Linked DNA regions of Stegostoma tigrinum. The protein of the gene in region 2 purifies or fractionates together with the protein of the main gene of each other region. This does not show direct contact. Links are inferred from orthologs where the notes say so. Each region holds a gene or a part of one and is shown on either strand. Other genes may lie near its edges. The genes, in order: csnk2a2b and G patch domain-containing protein 2-like.

Region 1 (11,230 bases), on a different chromosome or scaffold from region 2:
GGAGCTCTGGCTTTGGTTGCTCTGCATTTTGCCCTTGTGCAAATGTATTTCAATTATACCCACTTTAAAACAATCCGATGTTCCAATATTATCTTTTGTTTCTATTTTACCTAGATCACATCCATTCTTACCCCACTGAAAGTGGCCTTCCGATTTCAATGTTTTACTTCACATTGCCCCTTGTCCCTTGTCACTTTCCCTGAGCTAGCTTAAACCTTTGATACTCATGATCATTATCAACATAGCGATACAGCACAGAAACAGACCCTTTGGTCCATCCAGTCCACGCCAAACATAATCCCAAATTAAACTAGTCCCATAATCATCCTGTTGAGATGTGTCACAAACTTTAAAGAATTAGGTACCTGCATCCCTCGGTCCCTTTGTTCTATAACACTACGCAAAGCCCTATTAATCATAAAAGCCCTACCCTTGTTTGTTGTACCAAAATCAATACCTCACATTTACTCAGACTGAACTCCCTCTGCCATTTTTGCATTGCTCATTGCATTGAGTATAGGAGTTGGGACGTTATGTTGAGGTTGTACAGGACATTGGTGAGGCCTCTTCTGGAATACTGTGTCCAGTTCTGGTTGCACAGCTATAGGACGGAGATTATTAAGCTGGAGAGGGTTCAGGAAAGATTTACAACGATGTGGCTAGGTATGGAAGGTTTGGGTTATAAGGAAAGGCTGGATAGGCTAGGACTTTGTTCACTGGGAGCATGGGAGGTTGAGAGGTGACCCAATAGAAGTTCATAAAAAGTGGCAGGTATAGATAGAGTTGATGGGGGTTGTCTTTTCCCTAAGATGGAGTTTTTCAAGACTAGGGGGCACATTTTTAAGGGGAGAGGACAGAAATTTTAAAAAGACATGAGACGCATGACAATAATTGACTTCTCATAACTATTCCCTTTTTTACACAATAAAATAGCATTACATTTGGTTGCTTTAAATGAAATGGTGCCTTCAGTTTCTAAACAATTTGACAATGATTCCAAAACTTCATACAAAAGAATGCAACATTTGACTCAGCTAGCTTATCCTTAAAACAGACATTCATGTGCCAGCAGTGGAACACTGACATGATGAGAATTTTTAACCTTCACTAGTGCTTCTTGACTTTAGACCAGAAATTACTTTTTCCTAGTTTGCTCCATTCCTTATCAACTAACTTGCATTCTATGTTACTCTTTTTACTCACCCACTAAAAAATGCTGGCCAGTAATCTAATATAAAGGCATGAAAGTTTTTTTCCCGAATTTTTCTTTGCAAGAATCTCTTAATATTTGGGATCAATCTCAAGTTCATTTAATTTATATTGCTTTTGGCCCAACTAATTTATTGCTTCATGAGGCAAAGCTGAGATTCAGACTCACTGATCAAGTAATATTGCGCAGGGTTCTGCTTGTCTGTTCTTTGCTATTCTACATGTGGCGTATTGAATCTACTATTACTGTCAGATCTCCCAAACTTTTATTTTCTTCCAGAGTAGAATACATGCCACTTTGGACAAACTGCATATGACAAAATGGACCCATGCCCACATAATTTGAGATTTGTTTACCAGGTGGTCACAGTGAAGACACAGCTGGCTTTGGTTCACCACCTCGCCTTGAAAGCAGGGTTGAGACGTGAAGAAAGTCATGCTCTATCCTGGCTCTTTTGAGAACAATTAGAGTACAAAACACCTTCAGTACAGGAAAAAAAAAGTTCATGGTGCTTCAGAGAAAGTACAAGGAAGAACAAAGCAATAGGATAAATTAATCAATATTTCTGAAAACTAAAGTCAGATTTTAAGAATTGTCAAAGGAGAAGAAACTTAGATACCGGCAGGTTGAGGAACAGAATTCCAGGGTATAAAAGTCTAGACAGCTGAAAGCATGATCAATATTGGTGAGAAACTGGTGCATCTGAGGCCAAAATTAGATGATGAATGTGTCAGGGACAGAAAAGAGGGAAAGTAAAGCTAGAGAAGTTCAGAAATAACAAGGTGTTAAGGGATGAAGAGCCAACGTAAGTCAGGATCAACATTTGCTACAGGTTAAGGTGGGAGGACGAAAACAGTTCTGTTTTATGGGGAATGGAGTGCCAGGCAATGAGGAGTGGAGCACTAAGTCAGTCATGACTAAGGCGTAATTAGGTGTACATAATTTTTTTTGAGGTGTAAGTCAATAGTCTTTGGGAGCAACAATAAAGAATCTGCTCGTCAGCTCGTGACAAATCTGGAAATCAAAGTTGCACTGGAAATGTTATGGAGTTAGAGGGGAGGACACAGTACTTTTGTTGAAAGCCTGAGGTGGTATTTTAGGTTTCCCAAGTGTTTAACTGGAAAACACCAACTAGACTGGATGAGAAAGCAACACAACACATTGCGGGAAAAGCTCAGCTGCAGTCTTAGTGCATGGAACTTCATTCTATGTTTTTTTTTGTTATCTGCTTAACAGTAATTGCTCTTTACATTTTACAAGATTTTCTCAATTTTCTTTCCCATCACCCATCCCACCATTTACTAAGAGTCTTGATTCCCTTCTCTCGTCAAAGCATTTTAAACAAGTCCTCAGTCAAATATTCAATTTTCAAATATTCTCACTTTAGTTTTGGCAACTTTCAGTAAGAACATTATATTAAAATATTTATGGATCCTCAGTAGTTATTTGCACAGTCGAGAAACTCTATGTATCTACCAATACAAATCAATTCTGAAGTTGCTATGTCAAGTTAATATCTGTATATCACAACATAAATTGATGCCAGAGAATTTGGATGAGAAACTATTTTGCATACACACAGTTACTGGGCCAAGGTGCATCATGTTCCAAAGGCACATAAATAGTAGCGAAGGCTATTGAGAACCAAGCTGAGCTTCATTGAAATTGGATGCAACCTTTTGACCACCTAAGAATCACCAATCTCTGATTCACCTCTGGAAATGTGTCTGGGTCTTGGGCTTAAAGCATGGGTGAAACAAATCTCAACAATAAACTCCTCACTAGACATCCCCAAACACTGGATACTTTTGGATTGTACCACTAGACCGCATTCAACCCTCATTCGAACGAGCGTTTTAACCGAGCCTTTAACTGTCAACATTATGGCAAGTGAAACCATGACAAGAACAGTCTATTTCAGTAAACGTTCAACACTAAAAGCAAACCTTCAACACAAAAAAACTGTTAATGGGAAATAAATGTTATCAGGCATTGGTGACTTGTTTTTTTGCTATGTATAGCAGATACCTATCACCAGAAAGTAATCATTCGCCATGTTAAACCTCCAAACACACTATCTTTCAGAAACACACTCAGTTGTTTCGACTTACAGAACATGGAGGGTACAGCTTTTCAAAGTTAGGATGTGTCATATTTACTGCAGGCCAAGTATTTAGGCAGAAATTAACAAGACGACAAATATAAAACATCTTAATAGGACTCCTGTGGCTCAGCCTCCCCACCTCTGAACCAGAAGACCCATGTTGAAATTCTACCTACTCCAGAGGTGTATCATAGTACAATTGAACAGGTTTATAAAAACATTAAAAACACTTTAACCACCTAGGCACATGCAAGCTTTCTGCTGCTTATCACATTATTAGCTCCTATGTTAAATAGACACCATGAAAAGATGGAGAGATAACAAGGTGTACGGCTGAATGAACACAGATTGCCAAGCAGAGGAGCAGGAAAGCTGATGTCTTCAGAAAAGGGTCAAGGCCCAAAACATCAGCTTTCCTGCTCCTCTGATGTTGCTTGACCTGCTGTGTTCATCCAGCTCTACACCTTGTTATCTCAGATTCTTCAGCATCTGCAGTTCCTGCCATCTCTAACCATGAAAAGGTTCTTAGTCCCAGTGACAGATCTAATCTCCAATACCTCAATGAACTAAATTAGCAGTAAAACAGGCAACAATATTAAGTTTACCATTTAGGAAAATTTCATGAAATGAAATAGTCTTCCAAATTTCTCAGACAAGAGTTTGAAACCTAAATAGTGAACTTTTAGGCTCAGGATATGACTTAAAGTCATTAGCAACTGAACTAATTTTCATTTCCACACCATTAATGACTGCAAAAGCTAGTGCTGATTGATACGGACTTTGAGGTGGGGCAGGTTATTGACACAGGACTGGAAAAAAAATCATACCATGACAGAACATGTTTTCACAGCATTTCTTGGGTAATTAACAATTAGACGTATTAGGTATAACCAAGTCAATTACAGTCCATTTTTATACGAATTAGACGTTTCCATATTCTATACACGCCTTTAAACATCCGCCAGACATATACACAAGGTTTCCACACATCAAGACTTTACTATTTTTCTGGTATATACATTTTCATTAATCCACGCAACAAGCATCTATATATTCCCGCCTACAGGCAGATGTCTATGCATTCAAGTCATATTTTAACCTCACTGCTACAACATACTGTGTTTCTTACCCCCATTCAGGAACGTGTGACTCGTAATCCCAGTACTCGCGGGGTTTCAGGCTGTTTACTTCGGCATACACGCGGGCCCTGCTCCCGGTAGCCGGACCCGGCATGGCAGAGCCAGGGCTCAGCTCTGGGATAAGGGGACGAAATCCCCAAGAGGGGGCAGCGGGGGGGACACAGAAGCCGCACCGCCACGGGGCAGACTGACAGTCGGGAGCCAGGCCCGGCCTCAACCCACGCAGCACCACCCGGGATAACTTCAGTAGCAGGGTTCGTGGAGCCAGCGGGAACTCCCCCGGGGCGCGGGGGGTCGATTAGAAAGGCCCAGTGCGGATCCCGAAAAAGATGGGTACGGTCGGGGCAACAGCAACGAGCTTATGAGAAACCTTACGGAGGATCAAACAGCAGAGCAGAACAGACCGAAGTCAACAAAACCGAACCGGACTTCCCTGAGGGAGGCCCGCAGCGGAAGAAAATATTCCGCCGGGTGCGGACCCAACCCTGAGAAACCGGTCACAAGCTCGCTCTATCAGCGAGAAGACACCGAGGGCCACAGGATGACGAGCGCCGGCAGCAGCGGCTCCTAGCGGCACCCAGCTGAAGCTGAGCGATGCCGGCTGCACACTCCAGCGGCAGCGACCCCTCGCGGCACCCCACTGAAGCTGAGCGACGCCGGCTGTCCGCTCCAGCGACTGCGGCACCTGGCGCTGTTTAATGAGACATGACCCACACGCTTACCACAGGCTCTAATGCCTTACAGAATAATACACGGGTAGCGGCACAAAGGGATTAAGGAATTAAGACAGAAAAATCCCCACAAACTGTAACACCCGCCAATATTAGGTTTTCATAGATTATATGGAGACGTTGCTGAAACTTGTGTGAATCATTGGTACCGATAGAAATAAAACTGGAGTCACGTTCCTTCTGCATTTCTTCTTTTGTGATAATAATGTTCAAGTTGTAATACTGTGCCATGCATATGCGGTGCTGCGTATTCCTAGATGAAATAACTTGCAAGTTAAATTAACAATTATAAACTAAATATATATCATATATACAGTAAGTTGCATTCCCTCTGACTTTTTCCGTCTGCTGTGTGGACCTGTAAAGTCTACGCAAGGCATCAGCTTCCTGAACAGAAGGGTCTAGGCCCGAAACATCAGCTTTCCTGCTCCTCTGATGCTGCTTGGCCTACTGTGTTTATCCAACTCTACATCTTGTTGTCTCGCATTTACCCACCAACTGGCATTTCACCCTATAAGCGGTTTCATGTTTTGACATTAGGGACGTTGACTGTAGGTGCATAAAGACCATGAGGCATTTTAAAATATTAAGTTGAAATGGTGCATATTCTTAAGTGCCTACCTACGCAAATAAAATAACCTTAAAGCAACATACATTTTGACAGCAGAAAAATCCAGTTTAAGTACGACTCTTCTGATGCTGCCTAGCCTGACTCTAGCTCCACACTGGGCTGTCTCCGACTCCCGGCATCTGCAGTTCTTGCTCTCTCTACTATAGCACTACCTTCACCTGAGGAAGTTTCTATTGGCCAAGCTCCATCTAGTGGCATAGACTTGTCAATGCAATTGGAACGAGCCGTACTTAACAACTTCTGCTGCTATGGTAGAGCCCACGACTTCAGCATAAGTTCACAGTAGGAGCTAAACAGCAAGGGGAGACACATCACCTCACATTTACCAGAGCTAACTAAACTCCTTCTGCTTTCGATCTGTCCATCTGACCAATCCATTAAATTTTCCTATAACCCAAAATCGTTCTTCACAGACAACCATCCGGCCAATCTCTGCATCAAACTTACCTATCATTCCCTCCACATTCTCATCTACATCATTTATATAAATCATGACCAATAAGCGCCACAGCATTCATTCCTATGGTGCCCGACTGGACACCAACCTCCAATCACATAAACTTTTGACAACAACCTCTCCTACTACTAAACCAAATTTGTATCCAAGTTGCCAATCTACCCTGAATTCCATGTGGTTTTATCTTTGTATTATTCTGCTGTTAACATGTGTTTCTCCCATGGGGGATCTTTGCTGAAATCCAGACAAACTATATCAATTCTACTGCACACATCTGCACACTTCATCACCTCAAAAAATTCAACCAGATTTGTTAGAATCCCTCTGACAACACTTTGCAGTCTAACCCTGATGAATCCTTGCAACTCTAAATGGAGATTGATTCTCTCCTTCACGACCTTCTGCAATAGTTTCCAGGCCACTGATTTGAGACTCGCTGGTCTATAATTTCCTGATTTATCCTTTCCACTTGTAAAGTGGAACCACATTAGCTGTCCTTCAGTCCTCTCGCACCCCTCCTTTGGCTAGAGAAGAATTAAAAATTTGGGTTAGGGTCTATGATTTCCTCCCTTGTCTCCCAAGGCAGCCTCATATCGCTGTTCCTTTACTGTCATTGGGTCAAAATCCTGGAAGTCCCTCCCTACAGTAATGGACTGCAGCAGTTTGAGAATGCAGCTCACCGCCACATTCTCAAGGGCAACTAGGGACAGGTAATAAATGCTGGTCAAACAGCAATGCCCATGTGCAATGAATGAGAAAAGAATCCTACTAAAGAGTTTCTAATACTTTTAATGCTGCAATGTCTTACTTAGCCGAATCTTTCCAGTTGTGATTGATAAGGGACTTATTTCTAGCTCTATTAGCATAAACCACTTCTCAATTCCGATAGCGTGAAAAATTCCACACAACTCTAAGTTTGAAAACTTCACAAACTGAAATATCGCTGCTGGTTTGAAACTGCCCTACTGAACTGAAACCTGATTGTGAACTGAATTCAAAAAAAGCTAACGGTCCTGTACTGTTTCCTCTGTATGTGATAAAAATTCCACTTGGGAAGCATTCAATAAATTAACACCCTGGCTACCCTGACAGGCACTTACTAAGTCATCTGCTTTCTTATAAATCATGTATTTACTTCAATGTCACAAATTATTTTCTGATCTCTTTCAAAAAATTACCTTCACAGCACTGAAACCAAAATCTATATTACCTCTAATTTAAAAAGAAAAATTTCCAAAATACAAAAATATATTGTACACATTATCAGAAAACAATTGTTGAAATTTATTCAAGTAAACACCTATCAAATTATTTGTTAAAATACAGATTCAAAGATTTAAAGTAAGTGAGGATGAATGTCACAAATGAAGATGAAATTGATATCAGTGTCTACTATGAAGCAGGCCTGGCTTGCTTGAAGATTCTCTTTCTGACCTGAAGGGTTTGAAAACTTGGGTGCAATGTAGTCAAACAGCTGCCACAGTAAACTAAGCAGAAGTGTTTTGGAAGTGAGCGCAGGCTCCTTACTTTCATTTTTACAGCAGTACCTGTTCTGACTATCGGTAGTCTGGTTCAGTGCAGCAAATCTGGAAACTTTCTTCTGTCTCCTGCTTGAAAAGCAGTTACTGCTTTAAAACGTTTCTCACATTTTTAAAACAAACATTTTGTGGAACAAAGCCAGCATTTTCTGCCCATCTCTAATTGCCCTTGAACTGAATGAATTGGGAGGCTCACTTCAGTGGGCAGTTAAGAGACAACCACATTGCTGTAGCTGAGGAGACATATTTAGAGCCAGCTTTCCCAAAAGACAAGTGAACCAACTGTGCTTCTGCAACATCATTGAAACTGGTTTCAATTCCATTATAAATTGAATTTAAATTCCACCACTTGCTGAGGTGGGATTCAAACCCCTGACCAAAGATCAGTAACCTGGGTCTTTAATAACTAGTGTAGAAATGTTAACCCCTTCTCCTCTTCTGCATGAAATGGTTGTTCACAATCAGACTTCTATACAGTTCAAAACTTAAAATAGCTGCTATCCCAAAACTGTTGAATTTTGTCTCTGTATTGAATTATCTTAGGCACAAACCCATTCATTATATTTTAGTTAGGTATTTTTTCTTAACTGCTTTAGCCATTTGCTTGGATGGTTCTTATTCTGTAGTCTTTTGGAGAGATAAGCACAGCTATTCACAACTTCAGGGAAACCACTGCCAAAGACTTTCTAGTTACTGTTGGAAATATCTGCTGGGCTTCAAAATGTCTGGTCAATTTCTTCTTGACATAAGTACTGTATAGTATGGTCTGGTCTCAACACCACTGAGTTCACAAAGGCGGTCACGTCACTTCTGAGAACCATCTTGTAAGATTCTTTGCATGTATTTTAAAGTTCGATTAATTTTCTTTGTAAAATATGTAACATTGTAACAACACAAATATTACAAACCTTTTTAAAATTTTTATTGGCATACTGGGTCAGACTGATTTTGAAGCGGCAAATGGTGGGTCAGAGTGGAACAGATCTTGAGAAGCATTTCTTTACAATACATAAAGCACACATTTTAATTTCATGTAAATATTAAGGTGTGAGCCCTGGTGCAGTGGTCACACTTCCGACCGACTCACAAGTTTATGGATTCAAATCCTGCTTCTGGAATCAGAGCCTTCAGCACCTCTCAGGTGACTGTAAAAGTGCCATGGCATTATTCAAAGAAATAAAACGCAGAGTTCTCTCAGTCCTGGCAAACCCTGAACCATCAAGTAACAGCCAGAACAGATGATCTGGTCATTTCGTTGCTCCATAAAAAAATGACTCCCACTTTTCATAATTACATCATTGACCACATAAATGTGTTTCCTTGCCTGTAAATTACTCAATGTCTAGAGTCTGTGAAAGATGTTACATTAATGCAAGTTTTACTTAATTTATTTTAATTCCCACTTATTTTGTTCAAAAATCACTGCAATGAGTTTTTCAATTAAATTTGTCATCCTTCTTAACTGAGTTACATTTTGTCCTTTAGTTGGTTCCATTAATGTTTTGGCAAACATCTGTAGCTTGGGTTGTAGATGAGGTTGTTGACTTGCTCACTGAGCTGGTTTGTTCTCTTTCATACGTTTTGTCACCATGCTAGGTGACATCATAGTGGAGCACTGATACACTGATGATGTCGCCTAGCATGGTGACAAAACGTCTGAACGAGAACAAGTCAGCTCGGCGAGCAAGTCAACAATTTTGTTCTATTAATTTATTTCTATTCCTATATCTAAAATTTATTGTTAGACTAAAACATTCTCTACTGTAAGGTATAATCTTCTCATAAAGTAGCATATCATGTATTAAAATGAAACAATTATGGAATTCAAGTGCTAAAACTTTCACGAAGATATCCACAATACATCAAGATAAAAAGTCTGACTTATTCAACTATCATAAAGAAATGGTGCTCATGTTAAACTAAATACCAAATCCCATAAGATATTATCTGACTCACCCTAAGCAGCGCCAAAGCTGATCATCCAGTAAATATAAAAATCTTGCATTTAATGTGCATCCATCAGTCTTCAGGTAATCAACTTCAATGTGGCAAATGCATTGAAAAAAAGAAAGAAAATGAATAATTTAGTACCTTCTCCTTCTGTCCTTTGGGATCAATTAGGGATTATGCCTCACTGTCAATCTACAAAAAAAAATCACCTCCAGTAAGATTTTGGCCTCTAATTGGCTTCAGGATTTGCCTATTTACACCTCCTAGAGTCTCTAGGCCACAGTCACATCAGCACACTACTCCAACTCAGCAGCAGAATAATTCATTACGAAATATATCCTAAAATGTTTCTGTCCTTAAAAGAACCATGAATTCTAAAATTTACTATAAAGATTAAAATAAAGAAAAACAGAAAATAGAGCGATGTTGTCCAGATTTGATGATATCCAATGTGATGTTACTATGGCTTTAAGAAGTGTATTTTGTCTGTGAAGAGATTGAGACAGAGATGCTGAGTGGTCTGCTTCTAGTCAATAAAGTAAACAGCTTGTGAGGTCTTGGGATTTTTTTTAAAAGGTTGGAACAATAGAAGCGACCTGTGGGCTCCCACAGAACCAGGAACTTTAGTATCATTTTTAATAGCTGTTGATGTTGTGAAAGCTGCTATATCTCTCTCTCTACAGCTAAAAGCTTCCTGCTGCTGGAATTGCATGTGTGACAAGGGTGTGCTAATGGGATGTCACTATATCAGAAAAATTAATCAGTAGTTTATTATTTTGTTAAGTATTTTGATAGAGTTACAATTAAACCAATTCTTTTAATTTTAGTTTGTCTATATTTTAACTGTAGTGCATGAATAAAGTTTTGCTTCAAACCTGATAGCTTGACCAATCAAATTGCATCCAGAATGCAATGCCTGCCACTTGCCTTTAAAATTAGAAAAAGATATGGTTTTTGACATGTTTTGAGAGAATTTGTTGTGATCCATAACACCAGAGATTGTTGATTCAGGGAATCAGGGAAGCTCAAATTTTCCACAGATCACTTCTAAACCACTTACCCCTCACATTAAACGTAAGCCCTCTGGTCTTAGTCATGTGTGCCATGAGGAAAAGATTCTCACAATCTACTCTATGTGTCTCATAATTTTGCATACCTACTCAGATCCACCCTCAGTGTCCTCTGATCGAGGGAAGACAAAGAATATCTCTGTATCCAGCCTCTGGTCATAACTGACACTTTCCATCTCAGGAAACATTGGTGAAACTCCTCTGCACACTCTCCAGTGTAATCACATCTTTCTGATAGCACAGTGAACAGAACTTCCCAATATTCCATCTGTGGCCTAACCAATGTTCTATAAAGTCGTAACACAATTTCCATGATCCTATATTCTACCCTGGCTAATGAAGGAATCCTCTATGCCTTCTTCACCAACCCATCTGTCTCTGCTGACATCTTCAGGGAATT
Region 2 (11,320 bases):
GGCCTCCATCAGCTTTCCTACTAATGATGACAAGGCAGAGGACCATAACATATAGCAGCACAGTGTGCTCCACTGTTCGTTTATGGCCAGTATGTTTCTAAATCCATTGCCCTGCCTTCTCCCTGTAACCCTTGATCCCCTTACTCATCAGGAACCTTCAGGCTACTTCTGTCTTAAATACTCAATGCCTTGGCCTCCACAGCCCTCTGTGACAATGTGCTCCACAGATTCACCACCTTCTGGATGAAGAAATTCCTCCTCATCTCAGTTCTAAAGGGTTGTCCCTTCACTCTGAGGCTGTGCCTGTGGGTCCTAATCTCTCTGACTAGTGGAGAAATCTTCCCCATGTCCACCCTACCCATGCCTCTCACTATTCTGTATGTTTTAATAAGAAGTCCTCCTCAGCCTCCTAAACTCCTTCAGGTACGTATCCAGAGACCTCAACCGCTCTCCCAATATGACAAATGCTTCATTCCTGGGATCGCCTCTGGGCTCCCTCCAACAGCAGCATTTCCTTCCTCAGATATGGTACCCAAAACTGCTTAAAATATTCCAAAGTAAACCTGACCAAAGCCTTATACAGCCTTGTGCATCCCTGCTCTTGTATCCTAGCCCTCTTGAACTGAATGCTAACACTGCATTTGCCTTCCTAGCTGCCAGCTGAACCTCCTTGCTGGGATCCTGCTAAACTTTTAGAAGATGGCTGTACCAGATCGTATGACATTTTGTGAGCTGTCTGAAGCAGATCTTATTCTTACATGTCACAGTCATTCTGCTGCTATGTCCATCAGAATTACCAACAACGTTCTCTCAGGTTTGTCTAACCAATGTTGGAACCGCAAGCCCAGAGGGACCAGGGGTCTACTGTACTCCCGCAAGCCTGGCTCCTTGTGGAAATCTGGGAACATGGTCTGACCGATGCGGGGACAGGGCCTGACCCCACAATTAGCTGACATTGAGGAGGCCCGACCAAACCAACCACAAGAACCCCATGGGGCAGTCAGGGCTGTGACTGGTGGCTGGGAACCCGCGAGGAGCACAGACTTACTTCAGCAACACTGCGGATTGACTGGGGACAGCCGCCTACCCAGGAAACCTGGGAGACACACCAGATGTCAGGTAAGACTGAAACTTCAGGGTTTCAAGCTCCATCTGCCCCTCCTCCCCAGCATGTTGCTGGCAAATGTTCAAACCATTGAAAACAATTAAAGCTCGATTCACCTTGCAAAGGGAATTGAGAGATTGCTGTGTGCTCTGTCCCATAGAGGCATGGCTCCCTCCTGCTACACCTGAGGGTGCTTTACAACCTGAGGGTTTCTAGTTCACTGTACAATCTGGCTGGTGTCCCAGGGCAAGTCAAGGGATGGAGGGGTTTACTTCCACATCTACACCTCGTGGTGATCCTGCTGCTCCCTGGACCTAGAATATCTTACAGTAAAGTGATGTCCTTACTACCTGCTGTGTGAGCTCACCCCTGCCACACTGACCGCGGTCTACATCCCAACCCATGTGGAAGTGACAGTACTCTTGACAAAGTATACAATTCGACAGACCACAGACAGAATACCCTGAGTCCATCACAGCCAGTAACTTCAACACGGCCACCCACAGGAACATGCTACCAAAATACCATCAACATCGCCACTGTCCCACCAGAGATCCCAATATCCTCGACCACTTCTGTACAACCGAAGGCACCAACCACTCCATCAATCGATCACAATGCTGTGCACTTCCTCCCGGCTGACAGACAGAAACTGAAGTGCGAGGGCCCAGTACAGAAAGTAGTGCTGTGCTATTGTGAGGTAATGGAAGGGCTTCTATGGAACTGCTTCGAGTCCATTTTCATAAACGTAGCAACAAGTCTAAAGGAGCACGCCCCTCCTGTTATAGACTTCATTAGTAAATGTGTAGAAGACAGCATGTGGAAGAAGTTAGTTCTAACCTTCTCCAACCAAAAACCCTGGATGAACCAGGAGCTTCGCTCCCTGCTGAAGTGCAGATCGGAGGTGTACAAGTTGGGCAACCCCAGCCTATACAGGAAACCCAGGAATGGCATTCACAAAGACAGCAGAGACGCCAAGAGGCAATACTAAATTCAGCTTGAGACCTAGACCAACCTCATGGACTTTGCCAATGTGGCAAGGCTTACACCATGTAAACTGCTCCAAGCGATATAATTCCAAGTCAGGATGGTGGGTGACTTGGAGGGGGTGGTATTCCCATATGTCTGATGCCCTTGCCCTTCTGGATGGAAGCGGTCGTGCATTTTGAAGGTGCTGTGAGGATCTTTGGTGAATTTCTGCAGTGCATCCTGTAGATGGTACAAACTGCTGCTGAGTGTCGGTGGTGGGGGGAGTGGGATGTTTGTGGATGTGGTGCCAATCAAGCGGCTGCTTTATCCTGGAAGGTGTCAAGCTTCTTGAGTGTTGTTGGGGCTGCACCCATCCAGGCAAGTGGGGAGTATTCCATCACACTCCTGACTTGTGCCTTGTAGATGGTGGACAGGCTTTGGGGAGTCAGGAGGTGAGTTACTCCCGGCAGGGTTCCCAGCTTCTGGCCTGTTCTTGCCGCCCCTGTGTTAATGTGGTGAGTCCAGTTGAGTTTCTGGTCAATGGTAACCCCCAGGATGTTGATGGTGGGGGATTCAGTGATGGTAACACTATAGAATGTCAAGGAGCGGTGATCAGATGGTCTCTTATTGGTGATGGTCATAGCCTGGCAGTTGTGTGGCGTGAATATCACTTTCCCCTTGCCATCCCAAGCCTGGATATTGTCCAGATCATGCTCCTTTTGAACATGGACTGCTTCAGTACCTGAGGAGTCATGAATGGTGCTGAACATTGTGCAATCATCAGCGAACATCCCCACTTCTGACCTTATGACGGAGGGAAGGTCACTGATGAAGCAGCTGAAAATGGATGGGCCGGGGACATTTCCCTGAGGAAGTTGTACCAAAGAAGTCAATCAGAGTGTTCCCCAACTGGAAACCTTGGATGAACCAGGAAATCAACTCCCTACTGAAGACCAGGCATGCAGCATTCAAGTCGGGTGACCTAGACCAATACTGGAAATCCAGATATGACCTCCGCAAAGCCATCAGGGAGGCCAAGAAGCAGTGCCAGACCAAGTCAGAGGCCCAGACCTGCCAAACAGATCCCTGATGTCTATGGCAAAACTTGAACGACTTTACGGGATACAAAATGAAACAGCATAAGATAGCGGACAACGATGCATCCCTCCCTGACATGCTCAATGCTTTCTATGCTCCGTTTGAGCAGAATACCACCAGCATGGCAACTCCTGCCCCAACAGCCTGAGGCACACCTGTTCTGTCTATCGCTCTTCAGAAGTCAGATCAGTCTTCCTGAGAGTCAACCCAAGGAAAATGATGGGCCCAGTTGGTGTCCCCGGTCAAGCATTCAGATCCTGCGCATTCCTGGACATCTTCAACTTCTCCCTCCTACAAGCCGAAGTGCCCACCTGCTTCAAGAAGACCACCATCCCCGTACTAGAGAAAGCACATGCAGTGTGCCTTAATGACTAACGTCCAATAGCTCTGACTTCAATAAACATGAGGTGCTTTGAGATGCTGGTCATGGCCACCATCAAGTCCAAGCTCTCAACCTGCCTCAATCCCCTACAGTCTGCCTACCAACATAACAGATCCACAGAGGATGCCATTTCTCTGGCCCTGCACTCATCCCTGGAACATCTGGATAACAAAGACTCCTGTGTCAGGCACCTGCTCGTTGAGTACAGCCCTGCCTTCAACATCATAATTCCAAACAAACTCATCTCTACCCTCCAAGACCTAGTTCCCAGCTCCCCCCTCTAACTGGATCCTCAACTTCCTGATCCACAGGCCACAATCAGCAAGGATAAACAAAAACACCTCCTCCACAATGGTCCTCAACACTGGTTCCCTACTGTACTCCTTATACATTCATGGCAGCATGTCTTCAAAGTTCTCGATTTTCATCGATGCACCAGAGAAAGCGTCCATCAGGATGCATCAAGACTTTGTACAGCAACTGCTCTTCCTAAAACTACAAGAAACTAGAGAGTTGTGAACACAGCCCAGACCTGCACACAAACCAGCCTTCCTTACACTAACGCCGCCTATATTTCCGCACTGCCCCAGGTAAACAGCCCACTTAATCAAAGATCCCTCCCACCCTGGTTATAGTTTCTGCCACCCTCTTCCATTGGGCAGGAGGTATAAAAATTTGAATACACGTATAAACAGATCAAGAACAGCTTCTGCCTTGGTGATAGCAGGCTTTTAAACGAATATCTCCAATGTTAGTTCTGATCTCGTTCTCTCTGCACTTTATCTGTGACTGTCATACTGTATTCTGCACTCTGTTCTGGCAGCCTGATGCACTTGGTACGGAACGATCTGGATATATCGCGCACTAAACAGCACTTTGCACTGTACCTCGATACGTGACAATAAATTAAATCAAAACCCACACATTAACCTTAAGAGAATCCTGAATGGAGACTCCCAAGCCCCCTTGTGCATCAGATTCCCAACGCCTTTCCCCATTGCCGACTCTCCCAACATGCCCAACTACTTAATAAAAACTGAAAGAACTGCGGATGGTGTAAATCAGGAAGAAAAAACCAGCCAGCTTGCCTGTAGCAGTTCTGACGAAGCGTCACCGGACTCAAAACATTAACTCGGTTTTTTTCCTTCACAAATGCTCTCTCTCTATCTATATCGATCCCAGTCTCTCTCTCTCTCTATCCCAATCACCCTCTCTCTCTCACTATCCCAATCTCCCTTTCCCTTGCTATCACAGTCACTCTCTCTCTCTCTCCCTATCCCAGTCTCTCTCTCTGTCTCTCTGTCTCTCTCTCTCTCTAACCCAGTCTTTCTCTCTCTCTCTCTATCCCAGTCGCACTCTCTCTCTCTCTCTCTCTATCCCAGTCTCTCTCTCTCTCTCTCTCTCTAACCCAGTCTCTCTCTCTATCCCAGTCGCGCTCTCTCTCTCTCTCTCTCTCTCTCTCTCTCTATCCCAGTCGCGCTCCCTCTCTCTCTACCCCAGTCTCTCTCTCTCTCTATCCCAGTGTCTCTCTCTCTCTCTCTCTCTCTCTATCCCTCTATCCCAGTCTCTCTCTCACTCTCTATCCCAGTCGCGCTCTCTCTCTCTCTATCCCAGTAGCGCTCATCCTCTCTCTCTCTCTCTCTCTCAGTTGCGCTCATCCTCTATCTATCCCAGTCGCCCTCTGTGTCTCTCTCTCTATCCCAGTCGCTCTCTCTCTCTCTCTCTCTCTATCCCAGTCTCTCTCTCTCTCTATCCCTCTACCCCAGTCTCTCTCTCTCTCTCTATCCCAGTCGCTCTCGCTCTCTCACTCTATCCTAGTCGCTGTCTCTCTCTCTATGCCACTCGCGCTCTCACTATCTCTATCACAGTCGCTCTGTCTCTCTCTCTATCCCAGTCTCTCTCTCTCTCTCTATCGCAGTCGCGCTCTCTCTCTCTCTCTCTCTATCCCAGTAGCGTTCATCCTCTCTCTCTCTCAGTTGCGCTCATCCCCTCTCTCTCTATCCCAGTCTCTCTCTCTCTCTATCCCAGTCCCTCTCTCTCTCTCTATCCCAGTTGCGCTCCCTCTCTCTCTACCCCAGTCTCTCTCTATCTCTCTCTCTAACCCACTCTCTCTCTCTCTCTATCCCAGTCTCTCTCTCTCTCTCTCTCTATCCCAGTCTCTCTCTCACTCTCTATTCCAGTCGCGCTCTCTCTCGCTCTCTATCCCAGTCGGGCTCTCTCTCTCTCTATCCCAGTAGCGCTCATCCTCTCTCTCTCTCTCAGTTGCGCTCATCCTCTCTCTATCCCAGTCGCCCTCTGTGTCTCTCTCTCTATCCCAGTCGCTCTCTCTCTCTCTCTATCCCTCTATCCCAGTCTCTCTCTCTCTCTCTCTATCCCTCGACCCCAGTCTCTCTCTCTCTCTCTCTATCCCAGTCGCTCTCGCTCTCTCACTCTATCCCAGTCGCTGTCTCTCTCTCTATGCCAGTCACACTCTCACTAACTCTATCACAGTCGCTCTGTCTCTCTCTCTATGCCAGTCGCGCTCTCACTAACTCTATCACAGTCGCTCTGTCTCTCTCTCTATGCCAGTCGCGCTCTCACTAACTCTATCACAGTCGCTCTGTCTCTCTCTCTATCCCAGTCTCTCTCTCTCTCTCTATCACAGTCGCGTACTCTCTCTCTCTCTATCCCAGTCGCGTTCTCTCTCTCTATCCCAGTCGCTCTCACTCTCTCTCTCTCTATCCCAGTCTCTCTCTCTCTCTCTCTCTCTCTCTATCCCAGTCGCGCTCTCTCTCTATCCCATTCGCTCTCTCCCTCTCTCTCTATCCCAGTCACGCTCTCTCTCTCTCTCTATATCCCAGTCTCTCTCTCTCTATCCCAGTCGCGCTCTCTCTCTATCCCATTCGCTCTCACCCTCTCTCTCTATCCCAGTCACGCTCTCTCTCTCTCTCTATATCTCAGTCTCTCTCTCTCTATCCCAGTCGCTCTCGCTCTCTGACTCTATCTCAGTCGCTCTCTCTCTCACTCTCTCGCTCTCTCTATTCCAGTCGCGCGCTCTCTCTCTCAGTCTCTATTCCAGGCACGCTCTCTCTCTCTCTCTATCCCAGGCGCACGCGCTCTCTCTCTCTCTCTCTATCCCAGTCTCTCTCTCTCTCTCTATACCTCTACACCAGTCTCCCTCTCTCTCTCTCTATATCCCAGTCGCTCTCGCTCTCTCACTCTATCCCAGTTGCTGTCTCTCTCTCTCTCTATCCCAGTCTCTCTCTCTCTCTCTCTCTCTCTATCCCAGTCTCTCTCTCTCTCTCTATCCCAGTCGCGCTCTCTCTCTATCCCATTCGCTCTCTCCCTCTCTCTCTATCCCAGTCACGCTCTCTCTCTCTCTCTCTCTATATCCCAGTCTCTCTCTCTCTCTCTCTCTATCCCAGTCGCTCTCGCTCTCTGGCTCTATCCCAGTCGCTCTCTCTCTCTCTCTCTCGCTCTCTCTATTCCAGTCGCGCGCTCTCTCTCTCAGTCTCTATTCCAGGCACGCTCTCTCTCTCTCTATCCCAGGCGCACGCGCTCTCTCTCTCTCTCTATCCCAGTCGCGCTGTCTCTCTCTCTCTATCCCAGTCGCGCTCTCTCTCTCTCTCTATCCCAGTCTCTCTCTCTGTATCACAGTCACTCGCTCTCTCTCTCTATCCCAGTCGTGCTCTCTCTCTCTCTATCCCAGTCGCGCGCTCTCTCTCCCTCTATCCCAGTCACGCTCTCTCTCTCTCTCTCTCTCTATCCCAGTCGCGCGCTCTCTCTATCCCATTCGCTCTCTCTCTCTCTCTCTAATCCAGTCACGCTCTCTCACAATCTCTATATCCCAGTCTCTCTCTCTCTCTCACTCTCTCTATCCCAGTCGCCCTCTGTGTCTCTCTCTCTATCCCAGTCGCGCTCTCTCTCTCTCTCTATCCCTCTATCCCAGTCTCTCTCTCTCTCTATCCCTCTACCCCAGTCTCTCTCTCTCTCTATCCCAGTCGCTCTCGCTCTCTCACTCTATCCCAGTCGCTGTCTCTCTCTCTATGCCAGTCGCACTCTCACTAACTCTATCACAGTCGCTCTGTCTCTCTCTCTATCCCAGTCTCTCTCTCTCTCTCTCTATCACAGTCGCGTTCTCTCTCTCTCTCTATCCCAGTCGCGCTCTCTCTCTCTATCCGTCGCTCTCACTCTCTCTCTCTACCCCAGTCTCTCTCTCTCTCTATCCCAGTCGCTCTCGCTCTCTGACTCTATCCCAGTCGCTCTCTCTCTCTCTCTCTATTCCAGTCACGCGCTCTCTCTCTCAGTCTCTATCCCAGTCACGCTCTCTCTCTCTCTCTATATCCCAGTCTCTCTCTCTCTCTCTCTCTCTATCCCAGTCGCTCTCGCTCTCTGACTCTATCCCAGTCGCTCTCGCTCTCTCTCTCTATTCCAGTCACGCGCTCTCTCTCTCAGTCTCTATTCCAGGCATGCTCTCTCTCTCTCTATCCCAGGCGCACACGTTCTCTCTCTCTCTCTATCCCAGTCACGCTCTCTCTCTCTCTCTCTATCCCAGTTGCCCTGTCTCTCTCTCTCTATCCCAGTCGCTCTCTCTCTCTCTCTATCCCTCTATCCCAGTCTCTCTCTCTCTCTATCCCTCTACCCCAGTCTCTCTCTCTCTCTCTCTATCCCTCTATCCCAGTCTCTCTCTCTCTCTATCCCTCTACCCCAGTCTCTCTCTCTCTCTCTCTATCACAGTCGCTCTGTCTCTCTCTCTATGCCAGTCGCACTCTCTCTCTCTATCACAGTCGCGTTCTCTCTCTCTCTCTCTATCCCAGTCACGCTCTCTCTCTCTATCCCAGTCGCGCTGTCTCTCTCTCTCTATCCCAGTCGCGCTCTCTCTCTCTCTATCCCAGTCTCTCTCTCTGTATCACAGTCACTCGCTCTCTCTCTCTATCCCAGTCGCGCTCTCTCTCTCTCTATCCCAGTCGCGCGCTCTCTCTCTCTCTATCCCAGTCTCTCTCTCTCTCTCTCCCATTCGCCCTCTGTGTCTCTCTCTCTATCCCAGTCGCTCTCGCTCTCTCACTCTATCCCAGTCGCTGTCTCTCTCTCTATGCCAGTCGCGCTCTCACTATCTCTATCACAGTCGCTCTGTCTCTCTCTCTATCCCAGTCTCTCTCTCTCTCTCTCTCTATCACAGTCGCGCTCTCTCTCTCTCTCTCTCTCTCTATCCCAGTAGCGCTCATCCTCTCTCTATCCCAGTCTCTCTCTCTCTCTATCCCAGTCCCTCTCTCTCTCTCTATCCCAGTTGCGCTCCCTCTCTCTCTACCCCAGTCTCTCTCTCTAACCCAGTCTCTCTCTCTCTCTATCCCAGTCTCTCTCTCTCTCTCTATCCCAGTCTCTCTCTCTCTCTCTATTCCAGTCGCGCTCTCTCTCTCTCTCTCGCTCTCTATCCCAGTCGGGCTCTCTCTCTCTCTATCCCAGTAGCGCTCATCCTCTCTCTCTCTCTCAGTTGCGCTCATCCTCTCTCTATCCCAGTCGCCCTCTGTGTCTCTCTCTCTATCCCAGTCGCTCTCTCTCTCTCTCTATCCCTCTATCCCAGTCTCTCTCTCTCTCTATCCCTCTACCCCAGTCTCTCTCTCTCTCTCTCTCTATCCCAGTCGCTCTCGCTCTCTCACTCTATCCCAGTCGCTGTCTCTCTCTCTATCCCAGTCGCTCTCGCTCTCTCACTCTATCCCAGTCGCTGTCTCTCTCTCTATCCCAGTCTCTCTCTCTCTCTCTCTCTCTATCACAGTCGCGCGCTCTCTCTCTCTCTCTCTATCCCAGTAGCGCTCATCCTCTCTCTCTCTCAGTTGCGCTCATCCCCTCTCTCTCTATCCCAGTCTCTCTCTCTCTCTATCCCAGTCCCTCTCTCTCTCTATCCCAGTCCCTCTCTCTCTCTCTCTCTATCCCAGTTGCGCTCCCTCTCTCTCTACCCCAGTCTCTCTCTATCTCTATCTCTAACCCAGTCTCTCTCTCTCTCTATCCCAGTCTCTCTCTCTCTCTCTCTCTCTCTCTCTCTCTCTCTATCCCAGTCTCTCTCTCACTCTCTATCCCAGTCGGGCTCTCTCTCTCTCTATCCCAGTTGTGCTCATCCTCTCTCTATCCCAGTCGCCCTGTGTCTCTCTCTCTATCCCAGTCGCTCTCTCTCTCTATCCCTCTATCCCAGTCTCTCTCTCTCTCTATCCCTCGACCCCAGTCTCTCTCTCTCTCTCTCTCTATCCCAGTCGCTCTCACTCTCTCGCTCTATCCCAGTCGCTGTCTCTCTCTCTATGCCAGTCACACTCTCACTAACTCTATCACAGTCGCTCTGTCTCTCTCTCTATCCCAGTCGCACTCTCACTAACTCTATCACAGTCGCTCTGTCTCTCTCTCTATCCCAGTCTCTCTCTCTCTCTCTATCACAGTCGCGTTCTCTCTCTCTCTCTATCACAGTCGCTCTCACTCTCTCTCTCTCTATCCCAGTCTCTCTCTCTCTCTCTATCCCAGTCGCGCTCTCACTAACTCTATCACAGTCGCTCTGTCTCTCTCTCACTATCCCAGTCGCTCTCACTCTCTCTATCCCAGTCTCTCTCTCTCTCTCTCTCTCTATCCCAGTCGCGCTCTCTCTCTATCCCATTCGCTCTCTCCCTCTCTCTCTATCCCAGTCACGCTCTCTCTCTCTCTCTATCCCAGTCGCGCTCTCTCTATCCCATTCGCTCTCACCCTCTCTCTCTATCCCAGTCGCTCTCTCTCTCTCTCTCTCTATCCCAGTCTCTCTCTCTCTCTATCCCTCTACCCCAGTCTCTCTCTCTCTCTCTATCCCAGTCGCTCTCGCTCTCTCACTCTATCCCAGTCGCTGTCTCTCTCTCTATGCCAGTCGCGCTCTCACTATCTCTATCACAGTCGCTCTGTCTCTCTCTCTATCCCAGTCTCTCTCTCTCTCTCTCTATCACAGTCACGCTCTCTCTCTCTCTCTCTCTCTCTCTATCCCAGTAGCGCTCATCCTCTCTCTCTCTCAGTTGCGCTCATCCCCTCTCTCTCTATCCCAGTCTCTCTCTCTCTCTATCCCAGTCCCTCTCTCTCTCTCTATCCCAGTTGCGCTCCCTCTCTCTCTACCCCAGTCTCTCTCTCTAACCCAGTCTCTCTCTCTCTCTCTATCCCAGTCTCTCTCTCTCTCTCTATCCCAGTCTCTCTCTCTCTCTCTCTATTCCAGTCGCGCTCTCTCTCTCTCTCTCGCTCTCTATCCCAGTCGGGCTCTCTCTCTCTCTATCCCAGTAGCGCTCATCCTCTCTCTCTCTCTCTCTCAGTTGCGCTCATCCTCTCTCTATCCCAGTCGCCCTCTGTGTCTCTCTCTCTATCCCAGTCGCTCTCTCTCTCTCTCTCTATCCCTCTATCCCAGTCTCTCTCTCTCTCTATCCCTCTACCCCAGTCTCTCTCTCTCTCTATCCCAGTCGCTCTCGCTCTCTCACTCTATCCCAGTCGCTGTCTCTCTCTCTATCCCAGTCTCTCTCTCTCTCTCTCTCTCTATCACAGTCGCGGTCTCTCTCTCTCTCTCTATCCCAGTAGCGCTCATCCTCTCTCTCTCTCAGTTGCGCTCATCCCCTCTCTCTCTATCCCAGTCTCTCTCTCTCTCTCTATCCCAGTCCCTCTCTCTCTCTCTCTCTATCCCAGTTGCGCTCCCTCTCTCTCTACCCCAGTCTCTCTCTATCTCTCTCTCTAACCCAGTCTCTCTCTCTCTCTATCCCAGTCTCTCTCTCTCTCTCTCTCTCTCTCTCTCTCTCTATCCC

What was found.
Region 1: the proteins of G patch domain-containing protein 2-like (region 2) and csnk2a2b purify together in Homo sapiens (affinity purification with mass spectrometry; 5 studies listed by BioGRID and IntAct, counting the BioPlex papers as one, with this or other methods). This does not show direct contact. The link is inferred for Stegostoma tigrinum from reciprocal best matches to the Homo sapiens genes GPATCH2L and CSNK2A2.

The regions. Positions count from the first base shown.
Region 1 is NC_081369.1:10,831,317-10,842,546, forward strand, and holds the start of csnk2a2b (casein kinase II subunit alpha'), read right to left. Parts: upstream 4,980-11,230; 5' UTR 4,548-4,979; coding exon 4,444-4,547; intron 1-4,443.
Region 2 is NC_081363.1:1,721,971-1,733,290, forward strand, and holds the start of G patch domain-containing protein 2-like, read right to left. Parts: upstream 4,952-11,320; 5' UTR 4,643-4,951; intron 1-4,642.